5 linked regions of the Rattus norvegicus genome follow. The main gene of each other region encodes a partner of the protein of the gene in region 3 in a complex. Links are inferred from orthologs where the notes say so. Each region holds a gene or a part of one and is shown on either strand. Other genes may lie near its edges.

Region 1 (3,513 bases), on a different chromosome or scaffold from region 3:
TAGACAGGAAATGGACTTTGCTCTAAACAAACCATCAGCTCAAAACAGAAAGGAAAAGAACTGTGTGTGGCTGTACACTTTGGAGGTTGGGAGGCAGGGAACTGCTAGTTTAAGGCCATTCTGGGCTAAACAGTGAAGACCCTGTCCCAAAAAGAAGAAAGTAACAGCATAGAAAATTGTCATTTGGAAGCACAGCAGTGATAATGTATTCAGGAGTCATTAATCAGTGCTGAAATTCTGGATAGAAAGCTGGGGAAGAATGGGATATACATTCTCTTGAGCTCCTGCAAGAGCTGAACAGGAGGGCTGGAAAGACGGTGTAGCGGTTAGGAACACTGGCTGCTCTTCCAGAAGTCCTGAGTTCAATTCCCAACAACTACATTGAGGCTCACAGCCATCGATAATGGGTCTGATGCCCTCTTCTGGCACGCAGGTGTACACATGTAGAGAGAGTACGCATACACATAGAGACAAACAGTTTACAGTGGCAGGACCTGCACAGCCACAGGAATACCCCATCAGCTGCTCAGAATTAACATCAGGTGGGACACAAAGGACTGCAGACACTTACTGGGTGTCAGACCTCAGACATCACAGAGACCTGGTCCATGTCAACAGGCTCTCCCACCAGGAGCCCAGACCTTCAGAGGAGCAATCTGTCACATTGCCTAGTTTTTCCTCTCAACAGCTACCAGTGCTTGCTTGGCAGGGAGTATTCATACCAAATGAGCTGCCCACAGAGCCAAGAGAACAGTATATTGTGCTCACCCTACAATACCCAAAGGGACAGGTATAGTCTGTCTAAGACTTCCTCTCAGCTTATCCAACTACTGAGGCAATGGACCTCAAAGAATTAAAGCCTCCCCATGACTCTCACATTGGGGTAGGAAAAGACTGAAATGCTAATTGCAGCGAGAGGAGGACCCCTCCCCCCACCCACGAAGAGATTTCACAGTCCAGCAACTTACAGGACCACTCTGCAGACGGAGGATGATGGATCAGTGATGGGCAGACCCTCATCCTGACCAGGACTGCTAATTAGGCATACGGTAAGACCTCTACTTAAATGTAAATCTATGTTCTACCCCAAAGATGGGTCCCTCACCTGTTCTTCATGATATGGCCACTCTGAATGACTCTTCCTCTGCTTTTCCCTATTTTGTCCCTTTACTTGGCATCTTAGGGATGGGTGGCTGAGCCCAGCTTATAGGATTGCCAGAGCCACGCTTTCATTCTAAAACCTCTGCTAACATGGCCACCCCAGAAGGAATACTATATAGTCGTCAACACAAGCAGCAAAGGCAGACAAACTCCGCCTCACTTGAGCAGGGATTAGAAACCACCCACCAGCCAATGAAATGTCAGCATGTTGCCCAGTGCTACCACGAGTCAAGTCACAGCCCTTGGCTTCTTAGCTGGACTCTCTCACTGTGCCCATGGAAGTCTTTAAGTATTGTCACATGATATAGCTCAGAGAGAGCAGGAGAGACCAGCCACTCCCTTACCACATGGTATTATCTGACAACCTTAGCAAAATTCTGATGATGGCCAAGTTTTGGGCTTTGTGAATTAATCTACTACGACCTGACAGCCTGTCTTTGTTTTCCAAAGGTGTCTGAGGAACCACAAAGTAGTCCCTAAGGGTCAGGAGCTCCTGGCACAGCTGAGCCACTGTTGGACACACACTTCACAGAGCACATAACAAATCCACGAAAACCTTTCTAAAAATCCAGCTCCAACTCAAAGTTAACCCTGTTCCAGCCCAACAGGGGTAATTATCCCAGCCTGGTTATATTCTTGCTTCTTCTACACAGGACACCGAGATGACTAATTGTAGAATTCTTGTAATGTCACCCAACATCTGTGAATCTGTCACCCCATCTCTGCCGAGAAGAAGGTGACGCTAGCGATGGTGTGATGGCTATTCCTGGTTGTCAACTTGACTATCTCTGGAACAAATTACAGTTCAAAAATAGAAGGCACCTGTGAGAGATTACTTTCGCTTGGTTTGAGGTGGAGAATCCATTTCTAATTCAGACCTTTGAGGTGGGAAGACACACCTTTAATGTGGGCCACACCTCTGCTGACAGCCTATATAGGACAAGAAGGGAACTTTTGCTCTTTGCCTGCTTGCCTTTGCCTTGCTAGCAGAGCATCCTTCACTGGCCTATTTCTTCAGGATAACAGCATATACTAAAGACCAGCTGAGACATTCAGCCTTGGGAGACTGAGCAACTACTGGATTATTGAACTTTCCATTGACAGCCATACTGATAAATAATATCTATCTATCTATCTATCTATCTATCTATCTATCTATCTATGAATGAAGAGAGATTCATTCTCCCCCTAGAGAACCCTGACTAATATAGATTGTCATGTTTGAGGCTATACTAAGCTTTCAGGATTCTGACTTCACAGCCTGTGAGATTTCTAAGCTTAAAGGCAGTGTAAAGAAGACCTTACAGTGATAAAATAGGGAGAATCCCTAAGTCACCTCTGTCTGGCCTCATCTCACTGAAGGCTTTGTTCCTTCCTGAGGAGTCTGTTTCCAGAGGAGTAGCTGTAAGCCAGAGCAGAGCATAGTCAAAGATCCAAGATTCAGCTATGTAAACAATCCCGACCGGTCAGACCCGGCCAACATTGGAATCACTGAGGTTCTCAACACCGTATAAAATCCTATCCCAAAGCACTACAGCAGATCTCAGCATTGAAAAAGAAAAGAGAAGAACAGAAATAAAAGTTGTGTTGACAAACAGTTGCCCAACATGGCTTTACTTTTATTTCTTTTTTTCAAAAGATTTATTAAATTTATTATATATAAGTACACTGTCTCTGTCTTCAGACACACCAGAAGAGGGCATCAGATCCCATTACAGATGGTTGTGAGCCACCATGTGGTTGCTGGGAATTGAACTCAGGACCTCTGGAAGAGCAGTCAGTGCTCTTAACCGCTGAACCATCTCTCCAGCCCTACTTTTATTTCTTTATATCTATGTTGTTCTTGTTATTTTTGGAGACAGGGTGCTCTGGAATTTGATCCTCCTGCCTCAGCTTCTCCAGTGAGGAGACTAGGGTGTGCAAGGCTGATGGGCTGCATTGATACTTTCCTCTCTACCCTGGAGGCTCACGCCCTGTCTGCCCGATGGAAGGACAGGAGCCTTGTTACTCTTAAGATTTACCTGTAAATATGACGGTGTTGAGGCTGGACTTCCCCCAAAGCTCCATGAAGTGGACGACGTCCCCAAACCGGAGGGAAGGATGCCCCGTGAACAGCACACACGGCTGTCTGAAGTCATGGCTGAAGTCTCCGTGGATGCTGCGGTAGTGCTTCAGCTTATTGGTCTGAATGAGCTAAAATACAACCCAGAGCAGAGGAACATGGCTGAGCTGCAGAAATGCTGAACAAGACAACTGAGACGGCAAGCGGGGACTAGGAAGACACTACAGAAGCTACACCTGCCTGAGGGCTGCTGTCAAAAGTCTGCAGAGATAACTCACCAAGACAGCAAG
Region 2 (3,513 bases), on a different chromosome or scaffold from region 3:
CCATACTTTCTTCACCTCCATTGTCTCAAAATCTAGAATAACGTATTATGTGCTCAATCAATACCTAATAAATGGCAAAGAATCAAATCAAAAAACAAAACAAAAGGCTTACATCAATCTTCTCAACTAGATCATCCTTATATATATAAAGGCTCTTCTGGAACTTCTGATTGTATGCATGCTTTGGATGTATTTTCCCATCACAATGATCAAATAGGTGCTTGACAAGTGACTATTAAACAAATCTGCGACCAGCCGAAATTACTGGCTAGCATGACCAGAGGAATTATCTCATAAGAAAACACAAAAAGCAAAAATAAACTTCAGCAAACCACACACACACACACACACACACACACACACACACACACACACACACACACGCTTCTGTCTTTCAAAATACAGTCCTTATAATGTTGGTGGAACACAAGAGGATTTTAGGTAATTCAAGTGATCTTGGCCATAGTAAGAAGTTTACTTCTCTGGTAACATTTGCCCACCATGTGTAAGGCTTTCAGATCAAACTGCAGAAGGGACTCACATATAAAATAAGCCACAAATATGAAAAGGTAATCACAGGAAACCTAAGAGGCAAAGACACCCTCAATGCTACCATATTGATTTATTTCCTTAAAAAGGAAACATCCACAAAAAGCTAACTAAAACTTACAAAGCTTACATCTGATAAATCAAAAATCCAATCTAAATCTGGAATCCTGGGCTAGAGCTGGCTCAGTTTTTAAGAGAGCTTGCTCCTAATTCAGGACTGAATTTTATTTCCCACACCCAGGCCAAGCAGCTTACAACTGCCTGGAATTCCAGCTCCAATGGATTCAACACCCTTTTCTAGCCTTCAAGGAAACCTACACACAAGGCTGTCTCTCACACACACACACACACACACACACACACACACACACACACACACACACACACACTTTATTATTTTTTTTTCTTTTTTTTTTCGGAGCTGGGGACCGAACCCAGGGCCTTGTGCTCGCTAGGCAAGCGCTCTACCGCTGAGCTAAATCCCCAACCCCCTCCCCCCCCCACACACACACTTTAAATCCTGATCCTAGTTTCTCTCCTGAGTTTCTGAGCAATCAGACTGGATATTTCTACATAGACAGTAAATGATGCCCCAATATCAAACAAAATTCCCCAGAGGTACCATAGTCTTTCTAAAATTTGACTTGATCATTGTATGTCCTCAATCATAAAACTTCACAGTCCTGCACTGTAGGATAATGTCATACAGGTAAGGGCTGGTACAGGATAGAAAGAGCTGAGAAGGAAGGATGGGCGGGAGAAAAGTCTGAGGGAAGGGGAGGTGACTGGAAGGGAAAGGGGAAGAGAGGAGGGATGGAGAGAAGCGGCAGAAACAACATGAAAGCTGACATTAAGATTCCACACTGTACCTTTACAGGTTGTTATGAATGTTCTTAAGGGATGGATGTGTACTGGGCTTTGTATGTTTAGGTGGACCATTATATCTTATCATTGGATCAGAGGTTATTGGGTTGTGTGTTCTTTCATGTAGCGATTTAAGTATAAGAAAGTGTGTGGCGGCTGGAGAAACTGAGCCACCACAGAATTGGGATGTGTGCTTCTGGCAAGATATCTACCAGATATGTGGGGCACTACGGTGCTGGACCTATGAGGACGTAAAAGACAGCCCCAAAATTAATGTTACAATGACAGATGGTGCCCAACGTGGGGTCCATGTTCCTTAGCACTCAAGACTTAACATTTATCTTCAAAGCATATCACCACTCCCTGGTGCTATGTCAAAAACAAAACCCACTCAAGTTCCTTAAATACCTCCTGGTTTCCAGCTCTCTGTCTTTTACTGACACGTTCCCTCTCCTTCACACTACTGGATGTACGACAGGTACAGTGAACTTTGCCACATGGCATGTGGCTTGAACAAATAACTTCACTGAGTCTTTCTTTACTTAGTTATAAAATTGGGACATCAGGAGCTGTAGAGATTGTGCAGTAGTTAAGAGTGCTTACTCACCTTGGAGATCCTGCCTTCAGTTCCCAGCATCCCATCAGGGCTCACAACCATCTGTATCTTCAGCTTCAGGGAATCTGACTTTATCTTCCGGCCTCCACGGGTATACACATGTGCACGCGCACACACGCACACACATATACACGCGCACACGCCCGCACACACATACACATTCATGCATACACAGAAAAAAAACTTTTTGTAATTTTTTTCATTTTTCTTTTTTTCTTTTTTTTTTTTCTTTCGGAGCTGAGGACCGAACCCAGGGCCTTGCGCTTGCTAGGCAAGCACTCTACCACTGAGCTAAATCCCAACCCCAATTTTTTTCATTTTTCAAGGCACCATTTCTCTGTGTAGTCCTGGCTACCCAGGCTGGCTTTGAACTCACAGAGAGCAGCCTGCCTCTGCCTCCCAAATGCTAGGATGAAAACTGTGTACCACCACTGCCCAGCTATAAAATAACATTTTTAAAATATACTTGGAAATGTATACCTTTAATCTCAATACTTCAAGACAGAAGCAGGCAGATCTCTGTGAGTTGTGAGGCCCACATGACCTATAATGTGAGTTCAAGGCCAACCAGACTATGTCTCAAAAATACCAAAAAGTCAACCCAAAAGAAAAAAGTACTTGGAATTATTTTTTAAAGGGAAATTAATATCCAACCTCTATATTAAATAAGCAGTAATAAATATACAGCACTTTGTAAGGTCACAATGATAGTTGTTAAATGAAGCTATAGACAGAGGCAAAACCTTAAAGTCTTTAACTCCCTGTGCAGGCAAGGATAACCCTAAACTTTTGAGTCTACCTCCAAGTGCTAGGATTACATTGTGAACCACCATGTGCATTTTATGTGGTGCTGGGTAAGGGGAGGTATGGAACCTAGGACTTCATTCTAGGTAAGCCCTCTTCAACTGAGCTATGACCTGCCCTGTTTATGCAGTGATGGAGTCTAAGCTCACAGCTTCGTGAATGCTAGGCCAGATAGGTATTCTACCAACTGAGCTACATCCCTGGACCATAAAACTATACTTCAGCCCTAATATGGATACATGTACACGCCTCCATTAAACCATCTTCAAACTCCTTCTTAAGGAGAAGGTGTGTGACTTACGGAGTCTCTCAGGAGACTCAGACAGATGACTGTTTCAGATTTTAGGTCATCCTGGGTACCTAATAAGTTGCAGGACAGCCTAGGCTAGAGTAAGACCCTACCTTGTTAAAAAAAAAAAAAAAATCTTTTTAATGACTATCAACACCAAACACCGTTGTAAATTCTGTACGTAGAACTGAAGATTTGCACTCTGACCCCATAGCTGTCAGCTGCAACTTACTTTCATTCTGTAGTATGTTAATGGCATCATCCATTATGCAATCTGGAGAGAATCCTGCAGTCTTTGATAATAATCCCAACAGCGATGCGATTTTCAGTCTCACAGATGGATCATTTTCCTAGAAAAAACAAGAAACAACACACATCTGTCATTCAAAAC
Region 3 (3,513 bases):
CTGGTGGCATCATAGGGTCAGGACACAAAGGTCAAGGACCAGTTCTGTACTCCAGTTCGCTAAAGCTATAAAGAGCCCTCTTGGCACTTGGGGATTGGTCCCAAACCCTCACCATGTTCTTCTCATTTCCTGCCCATTTTCGGAAGATCTGCAGGGATTGGCCAGCGTGCAGCATCCCAGGTGTAGCAAATACAACCTGCAGGGTGGACAAGGGACAGAACAGACCTTACCTGGGGGTGCAACAAGCACCAGATCTTTGACCAACAGTCTTTCCCAAAGCCCCACTGGGAGGCCAGATGTGGAGAAGCTGCATTGCCAGAGCCTTACCATGGGTCCTGGGTTGTCAGCAAATGTCCGGTCAAAGGCTTTGATGTGCTTAAACTCAAACATGTTCCTCTGGACAAATGTCTTCCGGATCTTCTGGTTGGTCCAGGTGATGAAGAGCTTGTAATAATGGTTGGCTTTCTCTGTCAGGCCCGTAGAGAAGTAGATGGGCACCTTCAGGTTCATGCGCTCCCTGTGTCAGTATATGGAGGCCAGAGTTAGCCTGCAACGCATATCCCTGTGTCCTCTACTGCATAGCTTAGCTGTGGCCAGGGCTGAGTCTAGTGCACCTTGAACTGAACCCTGTGGTGTCTCTATCAACCTGGTGACCTCCAGGCCAGACCTCTTAGCTTGTGACCTATGAAACACGGGAGTGATAGGGGTCCCCAGAGCTCATGTGAGGAGACTCAGTGTTCATATGGGGCCAATACAGTCAACAGATGATGGCTCCAGTGTGATGGCCCAACAGATGCACAGCTCCACCCCAGACAGCAGGGCCAGTGGTACTCAGTGGTAGTCAGTGGTGCCTTGACTTCTTAACAGTTCCACTGTGCCTGGTAGCGTGAGAGGTTTACTCTCCTACATGGAGGCTGTTCCACCCTTTCCTGCCTACCTGTGAGATTTTCCTGTCTGCACCTACCAGAAGGTCTCCAGCAGGATGCAGAGTTCTTGTGCTCGGCCCAGCGCAAACACAGGGATCAGCACCTGGGGGCAGGTGAAGCTGGTTCAGTTCAGAGCTACCGGCTACACTACTGTTCCTGAACACATCAAATAGCAAGATACTCAGTGCACCCATTAGCAAGTTAAATGAGGACATTACTGCAAAGGAACAGACAGCCATCTAAGAACCACAGATATGGTACCTGGCTACATGCAGAGACAGCAGGAACTGTGGGAGGCTCTTGAACAGCCTTCATCAGATGCAACCGTGAGAGAATGGAAGACTCTGGAATCTGTCTTCTTAGTGCCACACAAACCACAACTCCCACACCCAGAGACCCTGACCAAAGGTACGACAGCAAGGCCTGCTAGGAGGCCTAGAGTGTAGCCAAAGTGGGCACACACCCAAAGCCTGCCTGCAGTCAATACCTTTCCGCCACGCTCCACAGTCTCATGAACTTTCTTCAGGAAGTCTCGCTCTCTGCAGCGTTTGGAATCTCGGATGGTTGTGGCATATGTGGACTCTGTGATGAGCAGGTTGGGACGACACTTGTCAATCCAAGCAGCCCTAGAGCAGAGGTAGGAGTGGGGATGATGGACTGTCCATGACTACAGAATTGGACACGAGCTCCGCTATATGGCCTGTCAAACGTCATGGCAGCATACTCGGAGGAGACAACAGGGGGATGAGCCTGTAGCCTAGACTCCCAAAGGTACTTCCACACTGCATGAGAGTACTTAGGTGCCCACCATGATGCCTCTTAGAGCTACCAGGTCCCAGGGTGAGACACAGTCCTACTTACCCCAAATGCCGGTCTGGAGTCATGTTATAATCACCCTGGCAAAGAAAATGCAATAAGGAAGTTGTCTTTCTTCTACCCCCAGCAATTTCACTCAAGCACCAAACAAATACTTCCACTGACCGTGTAGACCACAGACTCTGAGCCCACTTTAATCTGGAACATGGCTGCCCCCAACACATGGCCTGCATAGTACGCCTTGATTTCCAGTTCATCATCCACCTGTGGAAGAAAGAATGCTCTTAGGCCTGCAGGGCAGGAAGGCAGCAGGAAGTAGATGATTACCTTAACCCAGTCCAGTTAATTCCTGTTTCTCACAAGAAGTCTAGGGCTTGAGGGTTGTAGCATAGTAAAAACAAAACTAGGTTAATTATCTAAGGATCTAGAAGCCACACTTCTTTTTTTTTTTTTTTTTTTTTTTTTGGTTCTTTTTTTCCGGAGCTGGGGACTGAACCCAGGGCCTTGCGCTTCCTAGGCAAGCGCTCTACCACTGAGCTAAATCCCCGACCCCTAGAAGCCACACTTCTAGACAGTACAAATCAACTCCAAACACTACAAAGAAGAAATTCTAAAACTAGGAACTGTAGACACCCCAGCTAAGACTTCAGTAGGTGAAGCTGGGTATGGTGGTACAAGTCTGTGTGTCACTCAGGAAGCTAGGCAGGAGGACTGCTATGAGGCCAGCCTGAGCTACATAGTGAAGTCCGACCTCAGGAGAACGAGTAGAATTTAGCATAGTGAATAAAGTCAAGAGAAGGAATGCATGTCTAAAATGTTGAAGCACTGCACGTGGCGACATTTAACTGTTATCTCAGTTCTTGAGTTCTTGGAAGGCTGAAGCAGGATGATAGAGTTTTGAGGCCAACCTGGGCTGTGCAGTGAGACTGCCTCAAGCCAAAAAAAAAAAAAAAAAATTAAATTCAGCATGAAATAGAACACAAAATGGATAATGAAAGGCCTATAGTGAAAAGATCTAATGTTAAGCTACTCAGAGCTCCAGGAAGAATTAAAGACCTACACTAACCCAGAAGTAGACCAAGGTCCCTCAGAGTACAGCCTGTCAAGGCCAAAGGGAAAGCAGCCTGAACAGGAGCAGACAGGACTCCACAGGAAATGATCACTAAGACGCTGGACTGTGCACCTCACGAAAAGGGATAACTGCAGAGCTTCCAGGAACAGCAAACAAAGGAAAGGGGTTGTGCTGCAGGCATGTTCTTTGGAATTGGGAAAATGCCTTCGAAGTGAAAACTCTGCCCCTGGGAGGACAGGGAGGCCCAGGGCCTTGGGCAGTAAACAGGAGGTAAATAAAAGAGCACATCCTGGAGGGACGAGAGCCTGGGGGATCACTGAGAGCCCCACCATAGTATAAGTGGGAGTTGCTGCTAGGGTTAGACTCTAACCAGCCAAGTCATGGGGAGAAACCATCTGACTGCAGCACTGAGAGCCAGACAGATCAGAGGCCCTGATGGGAGGAACAGTTCTGTGTTCTTGCACAGGGACAGACTAGGTAAGGCCCAGGATGGGGCTGGGATGTGAGGCCTCGAAGGAGTTAAAGTTTCAGTTCCTGGGAACTTGATTCGTTCCCCTGAAGAGACAATGCACTGAGACTGAACTATGTGTTCAGTCTATAATGCTTTCGTGTTCTTTGTGCAAGAGTGCTCATTAGCTTCCTGCTGACTTCCTCCAATTGTATGATAATTTCTGCTAACTCTATCCTGGAAATAGGATA
Region 4 (4,235 bases), on a different chromosome or scaffold from region 3:
ACCCCATTAAAACAGCAGCAACAGGCCGGGGGTGTGTGGGGGTGGGTGGTGGGGGTGGTGACTGCCTTTAACCCCAGCTTTTAATAGGGAGGCAGAGGCAGGCAGGTCTCTGAGGCCAGCCTGGTCTACTCTAGCGAGTTCCAGGACACCCAGGGCCACACAGAGAAACCCTGCCTTGAAAATCAAAACAAAACAAAACAAAAAATCAACAACAAAAACCTTCCCCATGTATAGGTAAGTGAACAACCACACAGACAAGTCCTGAGAGAGCAGTGGTCAGGGATGAGCCTCACAGCAGCCTGTGCAGCAAGGAAGCCTGGGAGAAGTGAGAGCTGCTGGCTCCGTGGAGGCTCTGTGGAGGCAGGGGTCCTCCAGTGGGATGAACGGCTGCATCAGGCAAGAGGGCCTGCAGTCCCACTGCTAGTCCCCACAGGGGGACTTCCTAACTCTGACAAGGGACAGCCAACACTTCCTGCTCTTTCTCTGTGCCCCTTGGGCAGTGGTGTGATCTCTGGGTAAGACAGTGAGCGTCTTGCGCACTTGCGACTTCCCTTCCCCAGAACTAGCACTCTGTAAGAGGAGGGACCTCCTCCATGTCGCCTGCTCCATGCTGAGTGCTCCTGAGTGGCTCAGGCTCAGCCCTTCCTCTGCCCACACCCAGCAGAGAGGCCCTGGCTCTCTAGGTGCTCTACCAGCAGCTGGGGAGGTAAACTGGACTCCTGGAGGAAGTTCAAAGAAGTCCCATTAGGCCTGTCTGCTACACTGTGCATGCTAACTCATCTTTGTTGCACGTAGTAGACAGAAACTGTGATGTCCCCTGTCCCCTCCCTTAAGTGCTTTTTCATTGGCTCAGCTAAGAGACAGGAGTGTGTGAGCCATTTTCCTAAAACCTCACCTTCTGACAAGCGAGCTTCACTTACCGTTGTCTTCTCTAATTTGCCACACTTGTATGTAACACCCTGGAAGCCCACTGGTCACCAGCAACCTGTTCCAAAGGGATGGAAAATTGTAAATCCACACTGGAAATTTGCCCTCACCCCAACAGCCTTTCCTGTCCAGCCCACTCAGGAGCCCCGGGACCAGCCGTCTTCATTCAACAGATGAGCAGGCTCCTGCTTTAGGGACAGGATCACAGCTCAGAGAGAGCCACAGACTGAGCCCAGGCTGCCACAGGTCACGATGGTCCCCTAGAAAGGACACACGTAGGAAGCCTGAACACAGAACCACGACTAAAAGCTGAAGTACAGGGGTCTGTCAGCTCTCGGACAAGCTTCAGAGTACTTTTCCACTCTGTATCTGGTCCCCGGAGCATCCCCATAGACTTGGAGGCTCCACTAATCGAAATGGCTGCTGAGCTAACGATTTCCTCAGATGCTACATCTGTGTGTGACAGCACCACCATGTATACCCACCCATGTCTGTACACTGAGAGGAGGGCATGCGGATAAAAAGACAGACCCTGCAGAGTATCTCCTGTCATCACCAGAGAACCGAAAGTCTGGGACACAGACTGGTCATACCTGGTATCTGGCACGTGCTTTAGGTCAAAGACAGCTCTGTCTGAGAATCCTCCGTGGCGTACTTTGAAGTCCCTCTCTGGGTATAAGCCCTAAAATGAAAGGGCAGAGCAGTCAGACAGCACCAACTCTCCTGTCCTTTTTGGCTTTTCTAGGCAGAGTCTCTGTGTAGCCCTGGTTGTCCTGGAACCCACGCTGTAGACCAGGCTGGCCTTGAACTCAGAGATCCACCTGCCTCTGCCTCCCCAGTGCAGGGATTAAAGGTGCGCACCACCGCCCGGCTTCTTCTGTGGACTTGAAAGGCAGACCCAGGTACTTGTCAGACATAGTGGGTATAACAGGCACTCCAGAAATCCACAGTAAACCGACACATAAATCAGCTTCTCTATATTTAAGTTACCTGGTTTTCCTTTACAGAGAGTCTTAGAGGTAGAATCAAATGAAGAATCTCATTTTTTTTCAAACTTTCATAACCAGCAACAAAGACTCCTGAGGAAACAAAACAGTAACTATGACAAAGTGTTAGAAATACCGTGGATCATGGGTGGATTCATAAATTCCCCCAAAGGATAAATACCTTCCCCATTCTCTGAGCAGCCTTGTGTCAGGGCACGGAAGTTGAATGGGTCTCTCTAAAGGTTCGGCCCGAGGCAGAAACCCACCTCTTTTAGTGGCAGGCGAGGTATATTACCTTTTTCACCAACCCATTCAAGAACTCGAGTGGCTCCTGAGAGGTCAAATGCATGGAAGTCTTGGTACCTGCAGGACAGGGAAAGAAAAATCACAGCTAACCAAGAGATTGCTGAAGGATTGGTGGAACGAGGCTCTGGAGTTAGGTAGACATGGGGCTGGATCTTTTTTTCCTGCATTTTAGAGGCCAGGATGACCATAAGGAACCGAGACTTGGTTCCTCACCTGTGGAACTCCCACAAAGTTGATTTCCCCAAGTTGAGATGATCAGTAAGAGAATCTGTGTTCAAGTTAATCTAGAGGCCGGCATAAGGTAACGGGTCATGTGTGTTTTACCCGCTCTCACAAGCACGGATCTGGCCACATTACTTGCTTACAAAGGACCGAGGGTCCCAGAGCTAGAACCGGAGATCAGGACCTCCATCCGTCCGTGCCTGGGCACTGCCCGCGAGCCCGCGACGGCCCGCGCCCTCCCCCATTGCCCATCAGACCCGCCCACGACCCGATTTACAAGCGCAAAGACTCCACGAGCCAGTCCTCTGCGAGCTCCATAGCAACTGTGGCTTCCGTCGCTTCACTTCCGCCAGCCAGACTTCCTGGATAGGCGCGCGTTCTCGCGAGGAGAGGGCGTGGTCTTCCGCCTTGCTGGTTCGTGAGCGCTCAGAGCTGCGCGAAGCCTTGATGTTTCTTAGGCTCTGTGTGCAGAGTCCGGATGAAAACGAGGCAAAAAACCCCCCAGATTCATCGATGTCAGCTACAAGCAGGATCGGAGACATCAAATATACCTCTGTATATTTAGGGTCAAGTTGTGCAAAGAGCTGTCAATGTCCCAAAGCCAGGTACAATACAGACTTAACTGGAACTTCAGGTGAACAGTTAATTTAAAAGTTTGCGTGAATATGTCCGTGCAGGATACTTTAGGATTTTCTTTTTAAATGAAAGGAATCTTGTTGGGCTGGGGATGTAGTTCAGCTGCTAGAGTGCTTGCCTAGCGTGCACGGAGTTAGCTCTCCAGTACCACAGTCAAACAAACAAACAAAAAACCCAGTATGGTGGCACAGGACTGTAATTCCAGGACTCAGGGGATAGAGGCAGGATCAGAAGCATTAGGTCATCATCTGCTACATAGGGAATTTAAATTCAGTCTACGTTAAACAAGACTCTATCAATAAAGTATCTGACATTCCAATTTAATTTTTATTTGATAACTTTGGCAATATGTATGGAGGACTCTGCATCCAGAGAATAAGAACACAGCAGGGCTGGAGTCCAGCATGATTCTCTCTGGTATGCACCAGGTACCTCAATAAAGTTTTCCATGGGGCCAGTGTAGCGTAGTGTAGGTAGCCTCCCGTTGCAGGGGAAGACTTTGTAGCAGAACTCATGGGTGGCAATGGTCAGTGCAGCCAACACAATACCTGGTTGCTGAGAGTTGGCAACCACTCATTGTCTGGCTGGTGCCAGGGTGAGAGGTGATGGGGCTTTCCCAAGACCACCTCTCTGAACATTCCACCCTCCAGAGAGCCCTTCCCTTTTTCCTCAAATGTGGGTGGAAGGAGAGGCCCAGACAGTCTTCGTAAAGAGCAGTATTTTTATTCACAACTTCACCAGGGAAGCAAGAAATACAGCAGGAAAGACTGTGTCTGTATCGTTAACATTCCTGGTGACCCAACCAGAAATCACAGTAACAGAGTAACACATTTGAGCTTAGGTTTCACATCCAGAGGAGGCCACTGCTAGGGTTCCATTCCTCAGTTTCCCTGGATGGACGCATGCTACGCCCAGTGCCGTGTTTGTTCCATTATTGGCGTCACTTCTGCAGCAGCCTCCTGTACTGAAGGCAAAAGAGAAAACTCGATCCTGGAGTCCACGAATGAGGGATATGCTGAGTGTACACAGGGGGGCAGTAGTGACAGGCTCTCAGCTGAGCCTCTGAGTGAGAACCCTTCTCCCTGAAAGACCTGAGGAGTCAGGGGTAATGGTTTTCCCAGAATCTAGCCCTAACTTTCACAGGGTAGTCATGACAAC
Region 5 (3,104 bases), on a different chromosome or scaffold from region 3:
TCTAGGCAGGGGCTCTATGCTGAGCCACACCCCAGCCCCTCACTGGGGGATTCTAGGCAGGGGCTCTACCACTGAGCCACACCCCAGCCCCTCACTGGGGGATTCTAGGCAGGGGCTCTACCACTGAGCCACGCCCCCAGCCCCTCACTGGGGGATTCTAGGCAGGGGCTCTGTCATAGAACTATATGCACAGTTTTCTTTTTCTTCTTAGTTGGAGGCAGTCTCACTGAGCTGCCCAGGCTGTCCTGGAAATAACTCCTTAGGTTAAGCTGGCCTTGAACTTTACATTCCCACCTCAGCCTCCTGATACCACGCTAAGCAAGAGACAGAACGATTCAAATTAAAGTTTGTGGTACCCCAGACCTAAAGCTAACTTCTGTGCTTTCTCTAGCTGTCCTCTCACCTCCAATAAGGCTGAGCCAGGCTCCTGGAGCTGATGGGGTGTGCAGAGGTGTGGGCTGCTGAGTGTGGGATGCAGAGAGGAGAGGTACTAAGGGTCTGAGCAGGCTCAGTTCATCAGAGTGCTCCATCACATAATGTGAAAAAGGCCACCTTAAGTCATCGAACACAGCATGAGTATACTTGGGCACTGTCCTAGAAGCCAGGAAATTCCCAGTCACTCTGATCAGGGAGTGTGACCAGCCTTTCTGGGGCCCCTGAGACCCAGCAACAACCGCTCCTAGGGACAGCAGGGCCAAGCCTTGGTCAGGCCTCTCCTCCTATCCTGGTTCCTAGCTAGTAGCTTGTAGACAAAGTGTTTCAGAGGAGCCTGTACTGAGACACCATACTAAGACACCGTAGACTCTGTAGGATGCTCAGACTGGGGCCAGAGAATAACCCTCATGCTGTACTATGTCCCCAGTCCCCAGGAACTGAGGACCCAGGCCTTTAGAGTCCTCCTTCAGCCACTGGCCTGCATCCTGAAAGCTACCACTCAGGCCCCTGGACCTCCAGGTATGCAGGGAGGGTGGAACCCTCCATTCTTAGGCAAAGAACAGTGAGCTACCCTGCTCCCACTCAGACCTCCAACTAAAAGTACACTGGACAGCATCCCTGAACCGCCCTGGCCCTGAACTTGAAACCTGGCCCTTGCTTTGGATGGCGGTCACTGAAGGGATGCTTTTGTCCTTGTCTTAGGCTTGCTGGACGGGACTGCGGGTAGCTTGCTGACTGTGGATGCACTCTTATCTTCAAAGTCGGCCTGTGTGGGGCTCCTCTGCCAGACTCTGGCGCACCTGGAGGAGCTGCAGATGCTGGTAAGTGTAGCCAGGCCTCGTGTCATCGAGCCACATGACCCCAGACCTCTGCTGACGTTCCTCCTCCCTGCAGCCCCAGTGCCCCTCACCGTGGCCACAGGTGCCTCTGCTGCAAGCTGCTGTGACGATATTGCGTCTCTCTGACGGCTCGGCGGACCCCAGTTCCAGTGCAGGAGGCCGTCTCTGTGGGGCGCTGGGTGGCTGTGTTCGTGTCCAGCGAGCAGCCCTTGACTTCTTGGGGACGCTGTCTCTGGGGACAAGTGAGTGCTGTGTTCTCTTGCCCTGAGTTCACTTTCTCTTCTCTTTCTTCTGGAGGGTCCATTGGGCCCTCAGGTAGCCCTCGGGTAGCTTCTGACCTCTGCCTCCATAGAGTTTGGAATGCTTGCTCCCTGCCGTGTGGCAGGCTCTGTGTAGAAGTTGGGTTGATGTTTCCACTCATGTCTGTTCCAGGCCCCCTGGAATTGGTGCTGGAGGTATTTGCTGTCCTCCTGAAGACCCTGGAGAGCCCAGAGTCCAGCCCCATGGTACAGTAAATGAGTTCTGGGAAGCCCGTACAGCTGGGGACCTTCTCACTTATGAGTGCTTCCAAAGGGGCCACCGAGCCACTGCCCAGAATGACCTTTCCAGCCCGTGTAATGGAACACACTTGTAACCCCCCACAGATGTGGTAGAGACTGGAGAATCATAAGTTCAAGGCCAGTCTGGGCTACAAAGAGACCCTGACAAGCTGGGTGCAGTCATTCACGCCATTAGTTCCAGTACATGGGAGGCAGAGGCAGGCAAATCTCTATATAGTTTGTGGCCAGCTTGGTCTACGAAAGGAGTTCCAGGCCAGCCAAGGCCACACGGTAGGACTACGAGGGGGCAGAGACGCTTGACACAAGGTCAAAACTGGTAGCAGTGGTTGCATGGGACCCAGGATCCAGTCTGTGCTGGTGAGGCTTACATTTAAAAGGAATTCTGTAGTAATATTTTAAAAAATCCCGGTGCGGGGTTTCTTCCCGCCTTAGACTATTTATGTACCGGCATAAAAGATTATCTTGTGAAATACACCTTAGGCAGCGCCCACCCTCCATGCTGTTAGAATCCCCTTTCCTATTGCCGACTCAGAGTTACCACTTCCTCATGTCTGTGTTCTGTCTGGGCTCCTCCTACCTCGTTGGCCGGCCCACGTGCCCATGTTTTATGTCACAGCTCTCCCAGGGCAGCTCTCCTTCCCCTGCTTGTTCTTCCTCTTCCACTGGGGGGTGGGAGGGGCTCCTTTTTCCTCCTCCTCCCGCTTCCTTGTCCCAAGCCCAGAAAACCTAAGCCCCGCCCATGTCTTCTCCCCAGCTATTGGCTGCTGGCATCTGTATTTACCAATCAGAATTAACGGGGGGCCGGGTTCCCCAGTGTCTTACCCTGTCTTCTGGCAGTGGGGGGTCCCACATTAGCATTGAGTGTGGGCAGTGCCCACTTCTGAAGCTTTGGGGGAGCCAGGGATGGAGATGGAGTTGGGGCATGACTGCTAACCCAGCGCTCTGGGCAGTCTTGCCTGAGTGGCTCTTGTTTGTCTTTCTGAGACAGGATGTTACTCTGTGGCCCAAGCTGGCCTCCTGCTGTCTGCACCATGCTCTGCCATTCACGCAATTCTTAAGGAGGGAAGGGCATTGGGGCACATTCTCATGCATTCTCCTGCTCCTGGGTGTAGTCTTGGTGCTGGGTGCTGCCAGGCAGAATGGACCTTATAGAAGGAGAGGCTTGGGGTGGGGGTTGGTGTCATATCCACATGAGGCCATCGCATCACCCCAGGCAGGACTTGTGAGTCTCACTGTCTGGGAGGCCACTCACCTATGCTCTCTCTGCCCA

The links.
Region 1: the proteins of Ints11 (region 3) and Ints9 are in contact, whole or in part, in a cryo-EM structure (PDB 8RC4), measured with the Homo sapiens proteins. The link is inferred for Rattus norvegicus from reciprocal best matches to the Homo sapiens genes INTS11 and INTS9. Residues at the interface, in NP_060341.2 of Homo sapiens: His94, Gln97, Ala98, His137, Leu138, His139, Gln140, Thr141, Lys274, His277, Tyr278, Lys280, Leu281, Phe282, Ile283, Pro284, Trp285, Arg291, Phe294, Ser449, Pro450, Ser451, Ile452, Pro453, Val454, Gly455, Ile456, Ser457, Leu458, Leu461; in NP_060720.2 of Homo sapiens: Glu127, Gly198, Tyr199, Ser200, Gln201, Lys202, Tyr231, Glu338, Phe339, Ile342, Phe343, Glu345, Gln352, Lys354, Val355, Tyr356, Leu357, Pro358, Glu359, Pro360, Pro361, Arg511, Arg512, Tyr513, Glu514, Lys515, Ile516, Glu517, Ile518, Met519.
Region 2: the proteins of Ints11 (region 3) and Ints4 are in contact, whole or in part, in a cryo-EM structure (PDB 7BFP), measured with the Homo sapiens proteins. The link is inferred for Rattus norvegicus from reciprocal best matches to the Homo sapiens genes INTS11 and INTS4. Residues at the interface, in NP_060341.2 of Homo sapiens: Pro183, Trp191, Lys194, Asp212, Gln288, Gln400, Gln404, Lys462, Met465, Ala466, Leu469; in NP_291025.3 of Homo sapiens: Leu159, Asp161, Thr162, Arg167, Tyr203, Gln207, Asp244, Ser292, Gly294, Trp296, Arg299, Lys323, Met326, Ser327, Asp328.
Region 4: the proteins of Ints11 (region 3) and Wdr73 are in contact, whole or in part, in a cryo-EM structure (PDB 8R22), measured with the Homo sapiens proteins. The link is inferred for Rattus norvegicus from reciprocal best matches to the Homo sapiens genes INTS11 and WDR73. Residues at the interface, in NP_060341.2 of Homo sapiens: Tyr206, Thr208, Thr209, Ile210, Arg211, Asp212, Ser213, Arg215, Cys216, Arg217, Glu218, Arg219, Asp220, Leu222, Lys223, Lys224, His226, Phe255, Arg258, Met259, Leu364, Val384, Glu385, Tyr386, Ser388, Lys418, Lys419, Glu421, Phe422, Gln425; in NP_116245.2 of Homo sapiens: Asp5, Asp6, Leu8, Val9, Ser11, Leu12, Tyr15, Gln16, Phe18, Tyr19, Ala20, Phe21, Asp22, Leu23, Glu50, Leu52, Arg59, Leu68, Phe69, Pro70, Glu71, Arg72, Asp73, Phe74, Lys75, Val76, Gly79, Phe81, Asp116, Ser117.
Region 5: the proteins of Ints11 (region 3) and Brat1 are in contact, whole or in part, in a cryo-EM structure (PDB 8UIB), measured with the Homo sapiens proteins. The link is inferred for Rattus norvegicus from reciprocal best matches to the Homo sapiens genes INTS11 and BRAT1. Residues at the interface, in NP_060341.2 of Homo sapiens: Leu9, Val15, Gly16, Lys27, Met35, His36, Met37, Gly38, Phe39, Arg43, Asp47, Tyr50, Thr58, Asp59, Asp62, His70, Leu71, Asp72, His73, Asp87, Gly88, Gln97, Pro101, Ile102, Glu105, Arg108, Lys109, Val112, Asp113, Lys114; in NP_689956.2 of Homo sapiens: Asp25, Thr27, Cys28, Glu30, Lys31, Asp34, Pro117, Ser156, Ser157, Leu158, Phe159, Ser162, Lys358, Ser359, Cys366, Arg367, Arg424, Arg427, Thr465, Lys468, Lys469, Trp514, Glu515, Asp518, Ser519, Glu522, Tyr560, Ser564, Ser604, Glu605.

What each region holds. Positions count from the first base shown.
Region 1 is NC_086033.1:43,449,227-43,452,739, reverse strand, and holds part of Ints9 (integrator complex subunit 9), read right to left. Parts: intron 3,355-3,513; coding exon 3,183-3,354; intron 1-3,182. UniProt on the Homo sapiens protein: Component of the integrator complex, a multiprotein complex that terminates RNA polymerase II (Pol II) transcription in the promoter-proximal region of genes.
Region 2 is NC_086019.1:161,207,771-161,211,283, reverse strand, and holds part of Ints4 (integrator complex subunit 4), read right to left. Parts: intron 3,473-3,513; coding exon 3,355-3,472; intron 1-3,354. UniProt on the Homo sapiens protein: Component of the integrator complex, a multiprotein complex that terminates RNA polymerase II (Pol II) transcription in the promoter-proximal region of genes.
Region 3 is NC_086023.1:171,774,905-171,778,417, reverse strand, and holds part of Ints11 (integrator complex subunit 11), read right to left. Parts: exon of another isoform or gene 2,007-3,513; coding exon 1,908-2,006; coding exon of another isoform or gene 1,823-1,907; coding exon 1,788-1,822; exon of another isoform or gene 1,553-1,787; coding exon 1,414-1,552; exon of another isoform or gene 1,030-1,413; coding exon 965-1,029; exon of another isoform or gene 518-964; coding exon 328-517; exon of another isoform or gene 197-327; coding exon 113-196; exon of another isoform or gene 1-112.
Region 4 is NC_086019.1:144,274,902-144,279,136, forward strand, and holds the start of Wdr73 (WD repeat-containing protein 73), read right to left. Parts: upstream 2,807-4,235; 5' UTR 2,760-2,806; coding exon 2,719-2,759; intron 2,277-2,718; coding exon 2,209-2,276; intron 2,007-2,208; coding exon 1,918-2,006; intron 1,610-1,917; coding exon 1,521-1,609; intron 986-1,520; coding exon 921-985; intron 1-920. Other genes in the region: Nmb (neuromedin-B), read right to left, coding at 3,983-4,036. UniProt on the Homo sapiens protein: Component of a multiprotein complex required for the assembly of the RNA endonuclease module of the integrator complex. Associates with INTS9 and INTS11 in the cytoplasm, stabilizing the INTS9-INTS11 heterodimer and blocking the active site of INTS11.
Region 5 is NC_086030.1:19,045,588-19,048,691, reverse strand, and holds part of Brat1 (BRCA1-associated ATM activator 1), read left to right. Parts: intron 1-862; coding exon 863-954; intron 955-1,137; coding exon 1,138-1,256; intron 1,257-1,329; coding exon 1,330-1,516; intron 1,517-1,706; coding exon 1,707-1,780; intron 1,781-3,104. UniProt on the Homo sapiens protein: Component of a multiprotein complex required for the assembly of the RNA endonuclease module of the integrator complex.